2 linked regions of the Drosophila melanogaster genome follow. The protein of the gene in region 2 interacts with the protein of the main gene of each other region in a pairwise test. Each region holds a gene or a part of one and is shown on either strand. Other genes may lie near its edges.

The links.
Region 1: the proteins of Rim2 (region 2) and E(spl)m3-HLH interact in a two-hybrid assay, tested with the Drosophila melanogaster proteins (one large-scale study listed by BioGRID).

What each region holds. Positions count from the first base shown.
Region 1 is NT_033777.3:26,018,075-26,024,792, forward strand, and holds E(spl)m3-HLH (enhancer of split m3, helix-loop-helix), read left to right. Parts: upstream 1-3,748; 5' UTR 3,749-3,945; coding exon 3,946-4,620; 3' UTR 4,621-5,053; downstream 5,054-6,718. Other genes in the region: E(spl)m4-BFM (enhancer of split m4, bearded family member), read right to left, coding at 5,961-6,419.
Region 2 is NT_033779.5:1,716,695-1,727,198, forward strand, and holds Rim2 (replication in mitochondria 2), read right to left. Parts: upstream 7,695-10,504; 5' UTR 7,235-7,694; coding exon 7,188-7,234; intron 2,210-7,187; coding exon 1,981-2,209; intron 1,798-1,980; coding exon 1,727-1,797; intron 1,665-1,726; coding exon 1,533-1,664; intron 1,458-1,532; coding exon 1,184-1,457; intron 1,122-1,183; coding exon 904-1,121; intron 536-903; coding exon 409-535; 3' UTR 205-408; downstream 1-204. Other genes in the region: Eno (enolase), read right to left, coding at 8,647-9,961.

The sequences.
Region 1 (6,718 bases), on a different chromosome or scaffold from region 2:
AATCCTGTTATTAGCCTAGAACTACTGTGCGCATCGCCTGTTCGTCATTTATGCACGACTGACTTTGTTTTCACATTCACACGGTACCCAGAGCCCGGAGCCCAGTAGTACATGGGTTGTTGTCCGGTCTTCAGGCTTCGGGATTTCGGGCGATGCGGTGGGAGGAGGAGGGGTTAGGGCTCGCCACAGAGCCGTCGTCGAAGGGGCCTCGAATAGCACCTGTTCCCTTCTGCGAGCGTGGGACTAAGACGCTGCGCATTTCCGTCCTGGGGAACTGGCAATGGTTAGGGCAAAGGCAATGGCAAAGGCAAAAGGCGCAGGCGTCGCCGTTGTTCGATGTCGATGTCTTCGAGTGTGGGAAAGGGCTTATAAGAATTTCACTTGGGTTTTCGGCTTTTTTCGGGGCACTATTATTGTTGTTGCTTCTGCTGCTGACGCTGTTATTTCTGTTTCCTTTCGATGTGATTTTTGTTTCGGCTGAGCAGCTGTTATTGCTACTTGTTGGCCTGTTTGTTGTCATTTATAATCAGGCTCGCAGAGCCCGGCGCTGATAAGTTCATTTTAAAAGGGACTAGTCGCAACGAGGGGATTATGACATGTTGTGGTTCACACGCTCCGAACTGGGAACGGAAAACGGGATGGGAATCGGATGGCATAAGTATGGGTATGCCATGGCAATGGGCATGGCCATCGGTATGGGGGATCTAATGAGGCCGTGACCTCATTCAGGCAGCAAGTCCTTGCCGGATCGCAGGTTCCCACACTGCACAACAATCGGAGTTAGCTGCCATAACTAGTTAGGCCAGCTCAGCTACGAATCGGGTTTTAATTTTCTTCATATATATATTTTGTGCCCGAAACTCGTGCCAATCGCGTGTGCACCGCACGCTTGCGCACCAGAGATCTCTCGACGCGACTTGACTCTGTTGCCTTTGGCCGCTATTAATCTTGGCTGAAACACCACCAGCACTTCCCTTACCCCACCAGCCCGCGCACTTTTGCCCCCAATCAGCGTCTAGGCTTTGAACTGCACGTTTGCCAAATTGAAAGCGACTGACTTGGCAACACGGACACCGGCTGAGACTCCAACTCGTAGCGCGACTTCCAAGCCAGCACCGACTCCAACTGCGATTGCGATTGCAGCTCCAACAGAGGCCAGCTTGTGCCTGGGCTTGTGCCTTTCAGCAACGGACTCTGGTAGTCGTTAGGCGATTCATACTCTCTCTTATATGGGTCTTTGGGACATATGAACATAGATTCAGGAAGATATGACTTTCATGATATGCTAGGAAACTGCTGTTATAATATTAATATTAAATATCATATGTTTACTTAAAATTTTTTAATTTACAGACTAGTACTAGTTATCTTAATGGGGACTTAATGTAATTTATTATATCTCTCAAGAGCATTGGCAATTCGCTAATCGATGACCCGTCAAGACTGCCTTTACCCATCAGCAACTATTTGGCTTTTAAGCTTTTGGTTCACACGACTGGCGATGGCAACAAGTTTTGTGCAAAACTATATATACATCGGCAGACAAACAGACGGGCATATATGACAAGCAATTAGTGTGCATTGAGGTTAGTCGAAAATGGTTTTGCGGTCTCTCTATTTCTGTCCATCGGTGTCTGCGTGATTATTTTGCATATTCGCATTACTCATACGCCACGTGTGCCGGTCGAGTTGAAAGTTGAGGCATCTTGAAAGGCGAACCATCGAAATGCCTTGAGAGTCTTAATTGTTATGGCTCCAGTCAGCAGAAAGGCAAGCCAAGTCAAGCCAAACGGCTAACGGAAGTCATGGCCAGAAGACAAACAAACAGAGCGATTCTGCAGCATCATGGGAAATGCTTAGCCAGGCAAAAAGCACGGCCACAAAAAATAACTCCGAGGCGTCCAACCACAAGTGTCATATTGCTGCGATGGTGATAAAGTCGGCCCAACAGCAGCTGTGAAAAAAGGGGCATAAAAAACAGGCAACATTTTATACACTCAGTGCTGACCAGTAGCCCTGAGATCAGCGAATTAAAAGAAATATGTGGAGGACGGGCGAAAAACGAATCTTAGAACGACAACCGGATGTTAAAGTTTATTACGAAAGGCGACAAATGCCGAAGGGTTGGTAATCGGACTATGCAAAAAGAGTTTTATTTCTTTCATTTTGGAACCCCCAATGCGCCGAGATAGCGAAACTGTTACACTTAATCGATACGCTTCAACGAAAAGTCAACCCACAGCCCCAGCCATAGTGGTGGTTGTGCACTGTGAGAAATATTTGAAAACTTAAAAAAAAAAACTGATTACATTTGAATTCGGTTATAAGTAAAATATCAAAATATATATATTTTCCATTCTTCCGAAATGGGGTGATCTATATTTATTGGTAATTAACATAGTTGCTGTTATTGAAATTGTTTCAAATCTACTTTAAACTCCCAAAAAGACCGCACATTTTGTCCACGTGCAGTTGTCGCAGTCATCATCATCAGCCAAGCATGCGACATAATTGCGCGAGTTAAGGCTGCCCCTCCACCCAGCCATCCCTCACCAGTTCGCCCACTGCCCCCCATTGGCGGCTGACAGTCAACCCGCTTGAAATCAACCAGCAGCAACAGCAACAACATTTCAGCAATCCATCGGATCGCATCACAATCCAGCCATCCGTCCAACGTGTGGGAAACACACGACAAATCTGTTTCCCACGGTCTCGTAAAGTAGGCACACCGCACACACACACAAACACCCATCCCCATCCACTGAGCCATGGGACCCACAATCACATAGGCTACTGCCTCGTAGGCTCCCTCGTGTCTCATTCTCATTGTTGGTGTGAGCGGTACGGAGCAGCGGACTTCGACAGCGAATGGGAGCCGAGCACTGTCATCATTGACAATAAGTATGACATGGATGAGGGGGGATGGAGGGCGGGGTGGAGCGGCCTGAGAGACACGCGCAGTCGCCGAGAATGAGATCCAATCCGAAAGCCGACTGTCGACTGCCGACTGCTCAGTTTCCCTCTGGCCATGCAATCAATTGAAGACGACGCGCGCCAGAGCACCAAAGCTGCAGATACAGATACATTTGTATCTGCGGCGGGGCACGCTCTCGCTCGCTCCCATTGCATGCACCTTGGTTCGAAGTCGACTAGTTTCGGTTAATAATACTAATTTTGGACTAATAGTATTACTTTCAATAAGCAGATTTTACGAAAATAATTGCAGTTTTATTAACTTTGTAAGTGATTAATATTTTTTGAAATTGCTTTCTTTCAGGTCTTAAAATTTAGCAAATTTTTAAATCGTCCTTTTGGTTGAACAATTATGTTGCATACTTTTGAGAGTCATATAAAAAATAGTTGTAGCAAAATATAAAGAACACAAATTTAACACTATTGGAAATGAAAAATATTGATATTATATTCGCATTGCTAAAATGGATTATTTCTTATTTTTTATAATAAGCATAATTAAGAAGGTAAAGAGTTCCATGGTGATGGTCCCACTGTACCCCCTGCAGACGGTACAACCCCCATCATCGATGGCCTACAGTAGCCTCTCTTTGTGCCGCTGCCGAGCGCCGCTACCGATCCGCGACCGAAAAGAACCGAAGTGGAACTCGATCTTGGGCCCGAGTGCCTGGGAGCGTGTGTGAGTGATCATGCGGGAGCTTTGTGGCCGGGAGAGCCTGATCCCCGTTTGCCGGGAGAGCGTGGCTGTCATATAAAAGTAGGGCTGGGAACTAGTTTGCCACTCATTTCGTAAAAGTGCCGCCACTCGAACGCACCGCAATCGGTGGAACGCGCAACGCACGCGCAACAAACTCGTCAAAAAGTAACCAATCTATGAAACCAACCAAAATCAGTAGTGATAATGTGCAGTTGAGAGACTAAATACAAAAGAACAATCCTTAAAATACACAACATAAAACAACCCAATCGATCATGGTCATGGAGATGTCCAAGACGTATCAGTACCGCAAGGTGATGAAGCCGCTGCTGGAGCGCAAACGGCGAGCCAGGATCAACAAGTGTCTGGACGATCTCAAGGATCTGATGGTGGAGTGCCTGCAGCAGGAGGGCGAGCACGTCACCCGGCTGGAGAAGGCGGATATCCTGGAGTTGACCGTGGATCACATGAGGAAACTCAAGCAGCGGGGTGGTCTTTCGCTGCAGGGAGTAGTGGCTGGTGTTGGCAGCCCACCCACCTCAACCAGTACCGCCCACGTGGAGTCCTTTCGCTCCGGCTATGTGCATGCTGCCGATCAGATTACCCAGGTCCTGCTGCAGACACAGCAAACCGATGAGATTGGGCGCAAGATAATGAAATTCCTATCGACGCGACTAATTGAGCTGCAGACGCAGTTGCTCCAGCAGCAGCAGCAACAGCAACAACACCAGCAGCAGCAAATACCGCAATCATCAGGCCGCCTAGCCTTCCCGCTGCTGGGAGGATATGGACCGGCAGCCGCCGCTGCCGCCATTAGTTACAGCTCCTTCCTGACCAGCAAGGACGAACTGATCGATGTGACATCCGTCGATGGCAATGCGTTATCCGAGACGGCGTCGGTTAGCTCGCAGGAGTCCGGCGCCTCTGAGCCCGTCTGGAGGCCCTGGTAATTGGGCGTGCCCAATATGGATCTTATCCCTAATATTATAATCGCAACCCAAAAAAATGGCTATTGACCGTTCTGCAACAAGATCCGTTGTCTTCCAAAGTAAATCATATCAACCTAAGTTAATTGAGGTCTAATCGATTTCTGAATGGTTTTGAAATACTTTTAGTTTTAGTTCCGATAATGGTAATTTGTAAATTAATTGTTTAATTTCAACTGTGATATAACTAAAGTACGTTGATCAATCAATCAGTGAATATATATTCGAGTGCGCTATTTTCCTACTCCAAAAGTTCCCTAAGTTTAATATCTCGTTGCGCTCTCTTTATTGTTTAGCATATATTAAGCTTTAAATAATTTATAAATGTTAATTTATGATTAGTTGAGAAAGAATAATCAAAAATACACTACCCAAATAAAATAAATGATTTAAATTGAAAACACAATGTTTTTCTTTTGCGGGATTTCAAAATTTTATAAAATATTTATTTTGTTATATTAATAAATATAAACAAACTGAACGATATTATGCAAACCTAACGGAATACTGTTCATTCTTGTCCCAGTCCGCCAATGTTGTTTACTGCCCCAATAAATTACCTTTAATTGAACATCACCTCAAATGTATGCAACACATTTTCGACTCGACCCTGATTCATTCCCATAAGCAGATCATCTAATTGGAGCCTGTTCTTACCACCAATCTGATCGGCAATCAACAGATCCTCTCTACCTGCCCGATAACTGGTTGGCATTGTGGTCCAAATCAACAGGCCAAACAACAACCGTCAATATGCACTACCTGCTGGCAGGTAAATTGATCAACAATAAGACCAAAAAAGGTTCAGGATCGAATCGGATTAGGGTCCGCTCGTTTTTCAAATGAGTCATGCCAATTAAGAAAGGACTTCGCTCCCCATTTATTTTCTGTGTTGATTTGTAAACGGAAAATTGTTGGAACAATAAGGGGGAAACAAAGAATTTAGATTCCTATTCAATTATTTTTTTTTTGGGTGAAATGTAACACAATTTTTGGTAAAGATTACCAATTTCCAAATGTGTGATTTAAGAGAAGGCCCATTTCATACGATTTATCAATGATTAAAAGTAAAAAAAACAGTGGTTGATTTCATTTAAATTGTATATATATTTTGATTTTTTTGTGTTTGTTAAGTAAAATGTATCACAATTTTTGTAAAGCTCTTCAGTTGAGTTGATCGGCTTGCGTGTTAATTTTTGTGGAATGGTTTCAAAAATTAACGGAAGACGTTGATTAAAGCTGGAGATCCAATGGAAGACATAGTTGCCGGATGATGGATGCAGGTTGCAGGACGCTGATATTTTTTAGGCCTGAACCCAACGATCCTGGGGGATAGCGATGGCGTTGGAGGTGCTGCAGTAGAGGGGCTCGACGAGGTCGTTGTCGGCTGGCAAATCGGAGACGGCGGTCCAGAAGAATGTGCCGTGAGCGGTGCGGACGAAGTGAACGGGAACGGTGGGCAGTTGCTCGAAGTCGTAGTCCTCAATTTCGCAGGACTGGGAGAGACGCTCGTTGGCCTCGTTCTCGCAGGACTCCAGAGAGGCGCAGATGGAGGCGGATTCCAGATCGGCGTTGCGGCTGTTTTCCATGGATTCCAGAGACTCCAAAGAGTTGGCCTTGAGGGCGTTCTTGAGGTTCTGCTCCTCCTCGACGCGCTGTTGCTGCTTGAAGATCTTCTGCAGCAGTTTCTTCACGCTGTAGGACAGCTTCTTGTTCGATTTGATGGTCATGGTGTTGTTGGTGTTGATCTTGTTCTGGCACATGATGATGTGTTTTGGAATTTTGTGTTTAGCTGCTGTGTAGCTGAGATGTGTACTGTACGAAGCGTTGAGCTCGAATGATGCCTGATCCTCCGAGCCAGGGTCCTTTTATACTCGCCAGGACGTGGAGAAACCCGAAGCCGAGCAGGTCACAAAACACCGAGTGTGGGAAACTACAAGGATACGTGTCCCGAAAAATCCTATACACAGTGCGGATACATGGCGAGGCAACAACAAAAACGGCAGGTGTGTTTTTCGAAAAGGGACTGCATCGGCATTAACCTGCGTGCGTCGGAGTGTGA
Region 2 (10,504 bases):
CAACCACATTTATACACTCAATATATATTGTAACTTTAACTAAATAGCAGCCTTTTCAAATTTTGATAACGTTTCGCCCTGCGGTGGCATACCACATCCTTCTGTGGCATGCAGCAAGTGGGTTTAGGGTGTGGATGGTGCACTTCGATCCTGGTGCGTGTTTCCCATTATTGGTTTTTTCTTTGTTTGCTTCTTTTTTTTTTTCGATTGGTTGGCCAACGTTCAACGTCTAACGTCTTAAGTCTATCGAGTTCGTTTCATATCTGACTTAGAAGCTAGTTAACTAAGAATTTGCGCTCGTTGGTTTGGATCGTTTAAAAACGAGGGATAAAATTACATAAAGTTGCAGCAGTCGCGTCTACATATGCACAGATTGGGTTACTCCTTCTCCAGTCCTTTGAAAGGCATCTAAAAGTCGTAGAACTCGTTCGATTTGTTGTTGAAGCGCCGCGTGAGCACATAGACGACCGCCTCATAGGTGGCCATCATGATCGCCGTGTTGGGAATCTGTCGCACCAGCTGCGTGGCCAAGCCTCTGTGGAAATAGTTGGTAAAGTTTACAATTAGTAGGAGAATTTGCTAAGGTAGAGCTCTCATATATAAAACACCTCGAGTGAGCACGCTCGAGAGTGATAATCAAATTAAGGTAAACAAACAAAAAATATGCGACGCAAAAGAATTTAAATAGATTTCACGAATTCGTGGGTGGCACATTATGATAATTCATTAGCTTATATGTATATGTTTCTTATATACATGTCGGAGTGCAAGTGGGATTCCCTTCGATTCTATTTCAAGACGGATTCAAGGGAACTACACGAACAAGGGAATCCCTAAGTACAAGTTGATTGCCTTAATGTCGTATCAAATTGAAAATTCACTCTGCTCATCTATTTTACCCACCTGTAGAGTCCTGCTCTGCCCTCCTCCTTCCAAACAGTGTGCAGGGTCTGCCAGAAGGAGTTGTATTTGTTGCCCTCCTCCCGCAGACGAGTGCGTGCCACTTCGTGGGGATAGGCGATGCAGGAGGCGATGGTTTTGGAAACAGCGCCAGCCATCATGAACTCCAGAAAGTCGCGGGATCCCTTGGTGTCCGTATGCCGCTGATTTCGCTGCTCTAGCTGTTTGTGAAAGCGATTTTAAGTCGGAGGGAAACTAGTGCGCATTAAATTCAACTACTTACCAACTTGGACTTGATAAACTCGTAGATGACAAAGTGCACCATCGTCTCGCAGATTCCAAAGTAGCTGGCCGTGATGCCCTTGTAGAAGGCCGCCACGCCTCCCTGGGCGTACACCCTCTCGATGCACTGCCTCACGGTCATCTGCACCTTGGAGTTGTAGTCCAGCTGCATTCGCGTCTTCACAAACCAAATGGGATTCGTTGCCGTGGAGGAGACAAAGCCGGCACTCGCTGCACTCATGATGTGCACCAGTGGCGAGTCACGTTCAACAAAGCTGGGGATCAAGTCCAGGCATTAATTTGGTGCTGCTCGGCTAGATGTACACACAGTGTACCAAAACCAGACTTACCCCAGACTGTTGAGCGTGTTTTTGGTTTGCGAGTAGGTGCAGAAGTAAATGGCACGGGATGGGGCCACGCCCACGAGATTCGGACCCAGACCCTTGAACAGGGCGCGTGGACCCTCGTTCTGGACAATGTGCCTGCAGGAGCAGCTCGATGCATTATAGTAACTGGCAGTTGATGGAAGCTAGGGTGAACTTACCGCAGGCACTGCACGATGCTCATGGATTTGGGCGTTGTGGATGAGATGCCGCAGTGTGAAATGGCCATGATCTGCAAGGCAAAAACAGGTGAGTTAGTAAACCAGTCGCATCCAGACTAGAGGCAATGGAGATGAAGGCAACGACGCATCGAAGTTGTTCGAGACCACTCCATTTCGTGGGCTTAGCTTGTTAGGATGCAGTGGCGGTGGGTTAGATGGGCGATGAGAGAATAGGTAAAAGAAGTTGGTACTACCCTACGCACACCCCCAATCACCTGTGGCTGTGATCTGTTACGTAATATCGTTGTGCTTAGCTTACGTCGTTGTTCCGGCCGCAGCAGCTCCGATTGGCCACCGTTCGCCGGTCCTCCTCCGGCATTCTCCGCCAGCCGCGACGGCGTCATGAACGCCGTGGAGCTCTGCAGGCGAGTCTTCACCACCTCCAGGGGGCATGTGACAACGGCACCCACTGTGCCAGCGGATCTGTGCGGATGAAAATGAAACATCAAAACATGCCCAGTTAGTAAAATCTCTTCGAAATCCTCATCCAAGCAGGAATAAATCACAAAAGTTACATTTCCCACTATCAATTCTTTTAGTTCTTTGACTTTGACGTTTCTTAAATTGCCTGAAAGACTTAAATAGAACAAAAAAAAAAGTACATATATTCCTCCCCATTTTCAATGGCAAGTGCTCAACTATGAATAACACGAAAATAAATCTCATTTGGCAATCAAGCGGGCAGAAAAATATCTATTTCCCAAACTCGTATTTCTTGGATTTGCGCAATACGCCGGCTAAAAATGTGCTTCCATTCCGTGCATATAGTATAGTATAGTATAGCACCACCACTCGAGTAGCTTGTCCCATTCCATTCCATTTCGACTTAAGTGGTGGCCACCATTGATTGGCTGCATCGGAAATGAGTAGCGTTTTGCCAAATGCCTGATGCAATGGAGGGGTTTTGGGCTGGGAAAATCACGTAGGAGCGGGCATGAAAGAAGGAGGAGCCGTTGTCCACCAAGTAGCCGAGCGAATTACAGAATATTTTCCAATTCGATGCGTTGCAAATTCCAAGTGCATGTAACGCAAGGTCGGTCGATTGTTTACTGAACTGCGAAATGGCCTAAGAAGATGCAAATGAAATGTGTGAAGAAATGATTTGCAGCAGTCAGAATTTAGACTATTTATCACTGAACTAGCTAATGCCACCGTAACCTTGACTTTCGTTTCGCAAAAGATTAATAATTAATGTTTACACGGCGGCAAAAGAGTGCCCCAAAAAATTAATTATACACGACCTTTCCCAAAAAGATAGCTTTTTATCAATAGGGTAAGTTTGCTATCTAGAAATATATTGTATGAGCACATGTTTGCAGAAGCATAGCTCGTGATCGCCAACTTGTGAATCAGTAGTTGGCAACTGGGAATTGTGAAATTAAATAGCTATGTACACATAATCGGCGGCTAAAAGCTCGCGAAAGGGGAAAAGGTTATGCAACTCAGAAGTGGAAATGAAATGACAGAGAAAGGAGGCCAGAAGTTTGATCGATGGGCACAGATACTTTGGGCACAGACACGAATGGCTCCCCTAATCCTGGAGCAATAAAATAGTAAAAATAACAACATTTAATCAGACGTCTGCCTCGTTTGATTTCGCAAATCTGTAGGAGATTGCTGCGATTCCCGGCTATTCAAATCCGGTGCGAACTGGTTGCGAATTGACCCGGCTCCACGCTCGATAACCTTTGATGCCTGCCAGCGAATGAATTGCACTGACCGGACAAAAGCAGCCTCTTATCAGCCAGGGAGTCTATCTGTGAGCCACGTCCACCGGGCACAGAACGGAGCACTTCTATGGCTGCCCGATCCACCTCGAATCTGGTATGCATAATGACTGTGACATAATGGCTTTGCGGCCTGCGGAACCTGCGGCCAATTAACATGCCATATGCTGCCTTTTGGTCACTTCATCTGGATAGAGCTTCCCTTCATCGCTCCAGCCCAACCACCATGATACGCATTTGATCAATGCACTAACGGGTTCCAATTAGCATCTGGCTGGCACATCACGCGAGAATTAAGCTAACTGCTACCCATTCCACGTGAGCCGAAGGTAATTTACCCAGACAGTTGGACAAACAATTCAGTGGAACGATTAATGAATCGATTCACCACTTGCATGTGATGAACTAGAATTGAGGGGTATGAATATTAGAGGGTATCCTATAGCTATACCATTTAGCAATAAATCAGGCAAGAGTGCCAGTCATGCTTGTGAGCTGAGATTAATAGCTCCACAAAGTAGCTCGCAGTATAAGTTCATTCGCAAATAAATCCCTCAATAAATATTGGGTCAAGTACTTAGTTTCTCTGTGGCCCAATTAGTAAGGTTTACAACTGCATCCAAGTACGTTCAGTCCGATCACACATATATTCAGATCTATATATATGCACTTAGCTATGCCCGATCGATGGCCTTTGGCGACGCATGTGCGAGAATCGTGCCATTTGCAACCAGTTAATGTGCGATTTATCTGTTCCTTGACATTCCTGCCGAAAAAACACACACGTTGCCGAGATAAGAGCGGAAATTTTGGACCCGCAGACATCGTCTATGGGGGATACGTAAATACAGAAGGGGAGTTGAGTGATAATACCGCTGGGCGGCAATGCGTCAGCTCTGCTGGGGTGACTTTTGTCCAACTGCTCGAGGAAGGGCAGCCCCCCACACACACACACATTATACACACATAGACGACTGATAAAGACAACTTTTCGGGAAGCCTTTCCTTATCAACGCAAATATAGTACGCCATTTTCAATGGTTTTGGCATTTCGCAGACCTAGGCTCCCATCTTATCAATGCCGCTTTTATTTTCACGTTTTTTCTTTGGCTCCTGCTGCCTTTGGCTTCTTTGAGATGGATTACGAAATCTATGGAAAGTTTTCAATGTTATTGTTTATGGGTCAAAGGAATCGAGGGTTACGAACGAGCTCTGTGCTCTCTAATTCTAGACTAGAATAATAATGTTTTCCTATTAATTTCGAATAACTCTTGGCACGCGATCTTCTATATGATCACCGAATTTTCATTCGCATTTCTCGCTTCCGTATAAATATATATATATATATATTCTGAAATATCAGAATGTGTGTCTAGATCAAGAGTGTTATAAAAAAAGACGCCCTTGACACAATTTCAGTGCGCCAATGGGCTTTACAATAAATCTTAATATCATATCGAAAGTTCAAAGATTAAAATATACCATTTCCATTGAAGTGACTTTCTTATGCTTATTGCAACCTTTCAAAAAAGGTGCTCTTTTCAAAATATGCGTACGTGCAGAGAGACACGTCTGAAAACCGGGCGAGGAATATACTTTTTTTTTTTTTTTTGAATATTTTGACCTGGTCGAGCAAGATACAAACAAATGCCAGCCGATGGAAAAGTTTGGAATAATGAAACTATGTGAGAAAGCGCGTTACTATATCTTATTTGAACTGCAGACGAGGAATCGAAAGAGCAATGTGCACCTTGTAGCCATAGTGACATTGCTATTATCCCCCCAAAAACCTCATCGAACACCTTGGGATCTGTTGTTTGTTGCATTCCCCACTCGCCTTCAACTGAGTCAGTGTCCCAGAAAAAGTTTATTTGCCTGTGCTGTCTCGCTGAGAACCAAAACAAATTCGAAATCGCTTGCCAAGCTCAATTTAGAATTGTTTTTAGCTAGTATGTAGGAAAATACAATGCACCATCTATTTTATATCATATATTCTATATTATATGTGGGCTATAGCGAAATCCGCAATATTAGTGTGCCAAATCAAAGATTTTAGGGAATAGATCAGACATTTCGCAACGCTGCTAATTGGCGATAGTAGGAAATATTTCACTATAAACACTAAGCTACAAATGGATATAAATTATAAATAAAGTAAACTGTTTTCCGATCTTAGAACAATGTTAGCTGTGCAGTTCCTTAATAGTAATGTGCACTGCCCCTCTTCAACTTATGTAAGCCCCTTGGAGGCCTCTGATGCCCGATTAGATGGATGTCGTTTGATTGTTTGCCGTGCGGCTTACTTGCTGCGATAGCATTGTGTGGCGGGGAGGCAAGGTTGTTACGCCTTTCGATTTGTTTTCGCAACGTGTACCAACACGAGATACCCGGCAAGCGACGACAAGTGGAAGGCGGCCAGAACAACTGGGGTATTAGCCAGCTCAGGTTGCAACGTGCAGCGTATTTCCAGCCCACTAAAGTATATACTACGCATATGTGCAGCGACTCGTTAGATACGGACACGGATACATACGGACATGGATACATACGGACATGGGTGGGTGCCACAACTGTGTGGTTGCTTTTTTCCCCCGCTGATAAGTGGACTTGCACTGCCGGCCGGCAAATTGCCCGGAGAGACTTGATTGCCACTGTGGCGGGGCATTAGAAGTGCCATTCAGCGGAATTATTATAGGTGGGGGGTCATGCTATCAAAGGCCTTCACCAAGGCCACCCGCGTCGATCAAAAGTTGTCAGAAACGGTGAGCTGTTGTTTTTATAAAGTGGAAATCTGGATTGCAGTCATAAGGAGCGAAGTATAGCAAATATTTTCTGTGGAAAAACTATCATGGACTAGGAGATACTTTATAAACAAACTCTATAAACACTTGTTTACTATCCCAAATATAAATATCAACAAAAATAAACTATTTAAAGCTGAGAGCTGTCAAGCATAAATAACAAAGTTCGTATTTCGAGCGTAATTCAATTGAAATGCGATCGTTTCCCGACTGACCAGGGGCTCGACTTGGGATCGATTCTCGATCGCTGGAAACTGGTTTTCCGCTGGGCAAACTAATGTGGAAGAACTAATGTGCCGGCCATTGTGTGTGTAGGGTGCAGGTGAAAACAAAAATAAATTCAGATGCGACGCGTCTAAAAATAGCCGCATATAAAAGCCACAATAAAAGTCCATAAGGGAAACAACAACAAAGCAATTGCCTGTCCAGGGGAATCGGAATGAATCCAAGTGGACATTGCCTGCGGAAAATGAACCCAGAAATGCGCTGTTTATGAATGTTTGTTCGCTGCAGGCGCGCTTTAATTAATTACATATGTTCTGCGTATTTCGCTCACTTTAGCTGCGATTTATCGAACAACAAATACCCTTCTTTTAATGCAAAGCACGTGAACGTAGCATGTTTCCCGAAGATCAGTTTGTGTTGTGTGTTTCCCTGCGCTGGCCGCATTTCTTTTTCGGTTTGCTCCCTTTTGGCAGTGGCGCCAAAATAGTTCAGCTCCCCTTCGTGGGCCAGCCCAAATCTAATCGCCAATTGCGCCGTTCCCGCCGAGCAATTACAATTAGAGGCCGGGAGCAAACCGGTTTCGTTCTACGCTGATGGCCTGACCTGCGATAAGACGCAGTAGGGAGAATGTCAGGCAGGCAGACTTACCCGCCGGCGATCAGGTGGATGAGAGTGTCGGCCGTGTTCTGGGCCATCTTCGTTGTCTTCCCAGTTCCGGAATAGGCTCCACCGAAATGGGCGGCTACTTGGACGCGCACTTGGTTTTAACTTTGGCAAAACGCACTATATTGTTAAGGCACTTTGTGGGCGGAGGTGTGGGGGGCGGGGCCCCAGGGGGAGGGGCTCTTAGCACGCTCTCCTCTCTTCCTCTTGCCACTTTCTATTGTCCTTTGAACTTTTGGGGCTTTCGCTTGGCCGCGATTCTCCGACTTTTCGACTTGATTTTCGGCAACGGTTATGCAACTGCAGTGGTTGCAGTGCTGAGCGTTAACTTAACCTACGGTTAGCTTGCGCGCAGTTAAAGTCCGTCGGTCGGCCGGTGCACTGATTCGATTTCGAGCTCGCCGATCCCTAGCGTTTGTGATTTAGCTTTGCATTAATTTATTTTCGATCCGATGTAAAAAAACACGTCCGTGAGAGTGACCGCACTGCGACTGTGGAAGCATACCGCCGCTGCGAGGCGCCAAGAAACGACCTAAAAAATACCAACAAACTGGGGAATTCAACGGTTCTGTGCGAAACTTTGAGCGCCATTTTGGTCCACCCTAGAAATTCAATTTTATTCACAGAAAGTTGAAAAAGCTTATTGAAATACTCGACTAATTGGTGGAAAGCAAAGATAAAGATAGAAAAAAGATCGTATTCAAAGTTTAATAACTTCATTCATCAGTTCAGAGATAATGAATAATTCAGATCCATTCAATCTTAATCCAAATCCAGAAAATGTTTTAAGATAGTTGCCTTTACTTTAGTTGCCCTTACTTGAGTTTACTTGATTATCTGGCAACGCCACAAGTGATCGAAGAAAAGAATTCAGTAACTTTTATACTTTTTATTTCACATCAACTAACAAATCTGAATATGTTTAATATTTGGTGTACTATTCCATCTGATTAAGATCTCTATTGAACACCGTGTATATTCGATAAGAATATTCCAACAGCTTTCGCTTAAATTCTATGTCTCAACAATTGTTTCATAACCGTTTTTGAAGTGAATAACTTGTCTGTTTGTGGATTTGGTGTTTGTGTAGATCAATTTATAATTTCATAACGATTACAGCGATTACATTGAAGATATTCAAAGCTCTCGGCAACTGAACGAATATCTTGCACATAGTGTTTTTTATTCTTTTGTTTATAAATAATGATTAGATCAAGGTTTAGCATTAATTAATAATGTCTAAGAACGAAGCATAGAGACAGCAAATGGGTTTGGTAGTTTAATTCTGATGTATTTGTGCGCCAGACACAAGTTCCGAACGTAAAAGGTTGACGAACACGTGCACCGCCGCCTTTCCATGGATCTACTGCGTCCAGCTCCCTCTCCAAGATCCAGATCTCATTCGATGGGGCTGGTGTGGTTGGAATTTCGAAGTGCCCTGCGCTTACTGCGGCTTCCTGAACGACTTGCCGGCGAACTTGACGCCAGCGCCGATCTCCTCCTCGATGCGCAGGATCTGGTTGTACTTGGCCAGACGCTCCGAGCGGCATGGAGCTCCGGTCTTGATCTGGCCGGTGGACAGACCGACGACCAGGTCACCGATGAACGAGTCCTCGGTCTCACCGGAACGGTGGGAGACCATGGTGCCCCAGCCGTTCTTCTTGGCCAGCAGATGGGCGGCAATGGACTCGGTGACGGTGCCGATCTGGTTGACCTTCAGGAGCAGGCAGTTGCAGGCCTTCTTCTCCACGGCGGTGGCAATACGCTTGGGGTTGGTCACGGTCAGATCATCGCCCACGATCTGGATGTCGGTGCAGCCGGTCAGGTTGGACCAGGCCTCCCAGTGGTCCTGGTCAAAGGGATCCTCAATCGAGACGATGGGGAAGTCCTTAATAAACTCCTGGTACAGGTTGGCCAGCTTGTCGGCGGGCAGCCACTGCGACTTGTCGCTCTTCTCGTTCTTGAAGTCCAGATCGTACTGGCCATCCTTGTAGAACTCGGAGGCGGCCACGTCCATGCCGATCTCGATCTTGCCGGTGTATCCGGCCTTGGCGATGGCATCGCTGATCAGGTTCAGAGCCTCCTTGTTGGACTGGATGTTGGGGGCGAAGCCGCCCTCATCGCCCACAGCGGTGGCGTCCAGACCGAACTTGGCCTTGATCACATTCTTCAGGTGGTGGTACACCTCGGAGCCCATCTTCATGGCCTCTGTGAAGCTGGTGGCGCCGGTGGGCAGGATCATGAACTCCTGCATGGCCAGCTTGTTGCCGGCGTGGCTGCCGCCGTTGATCACGTTGAAAGCGGGCACCGGCAGGATGATCTCCTTGTTGCCAGCCAGATCGGCAATGTGTTTGTACAGCGGCACGCCCTTCTTGGCGGCTCCAGCCTTGGCCACGGCCAGGGAAACGCCCAGGATGGCGTTGGCTCCGAACTTGCTCTTGTTCTCGGTGCCGTCCAACTTGATCATGAAGTTGTCAATGGACGCCTGGTCAACCACATCCAGATTGGCCTTGATCAGCTCGGGTCCCAGGGTGTCGTTCACATGGCCCACGGCCTTCAGCACCGACTTGCCATGGTAGTTGGCCTTGTCGTTGTCGCGCAGCTCCAGGGCCTCGTGGACGCCAGTGGAGGCGCCGGAGGGCACGGCGGCTCGGAAGAGTCCCAGCTCGGTGGTCAGGTCGACCTCCACGGTGGGGTTGCCACGGGAGTCGTAGATTTGACGGGCCTTGATCGCTTTGATGGTCATCTCGTTGCTGTCACTGAAATCAAAAAACAAAAAACAAAGTCCACGAGGGCGAATTAGTGTCTGTTATCAGGACTTTAAATCTAGGCATGGTGTTCTATTAAATAGCTGACCGCAGATGAAGCCATTCAGATTTTATGGCGGATGTGCTCCACAATATTTGCGAAATCCCCGCCATTACTTAAATAGTTGGGCTTATTTATATTTAAAATTGTTCCAAATGGACAGTTAAATGATATGTTTCGTGATGCAGTGAAATATTCGGAAATATGTCGAAAAAGAAATACGAACTAGAAAGGAAATGGGAGATACACCTTTGACATACTTTTGGACTTGGTTCTCAAAATATGGTTAGATATTAATAAAAAATTATTTTTTTTTGCAAAGAATTGTAGCTGTGAGCATGTAAGTCACTTGCAATTTGAGCTGTGAGTGGTGTAAACTTATACATATATCCCCATTCGGGTGTGACTTTCTCCACGGTATAATCTCGAAATGCCCCTCCTGAGTTTTCTATATTTAATTTGTCTTCAAATTTCAGTTAAATATTTCTATAATA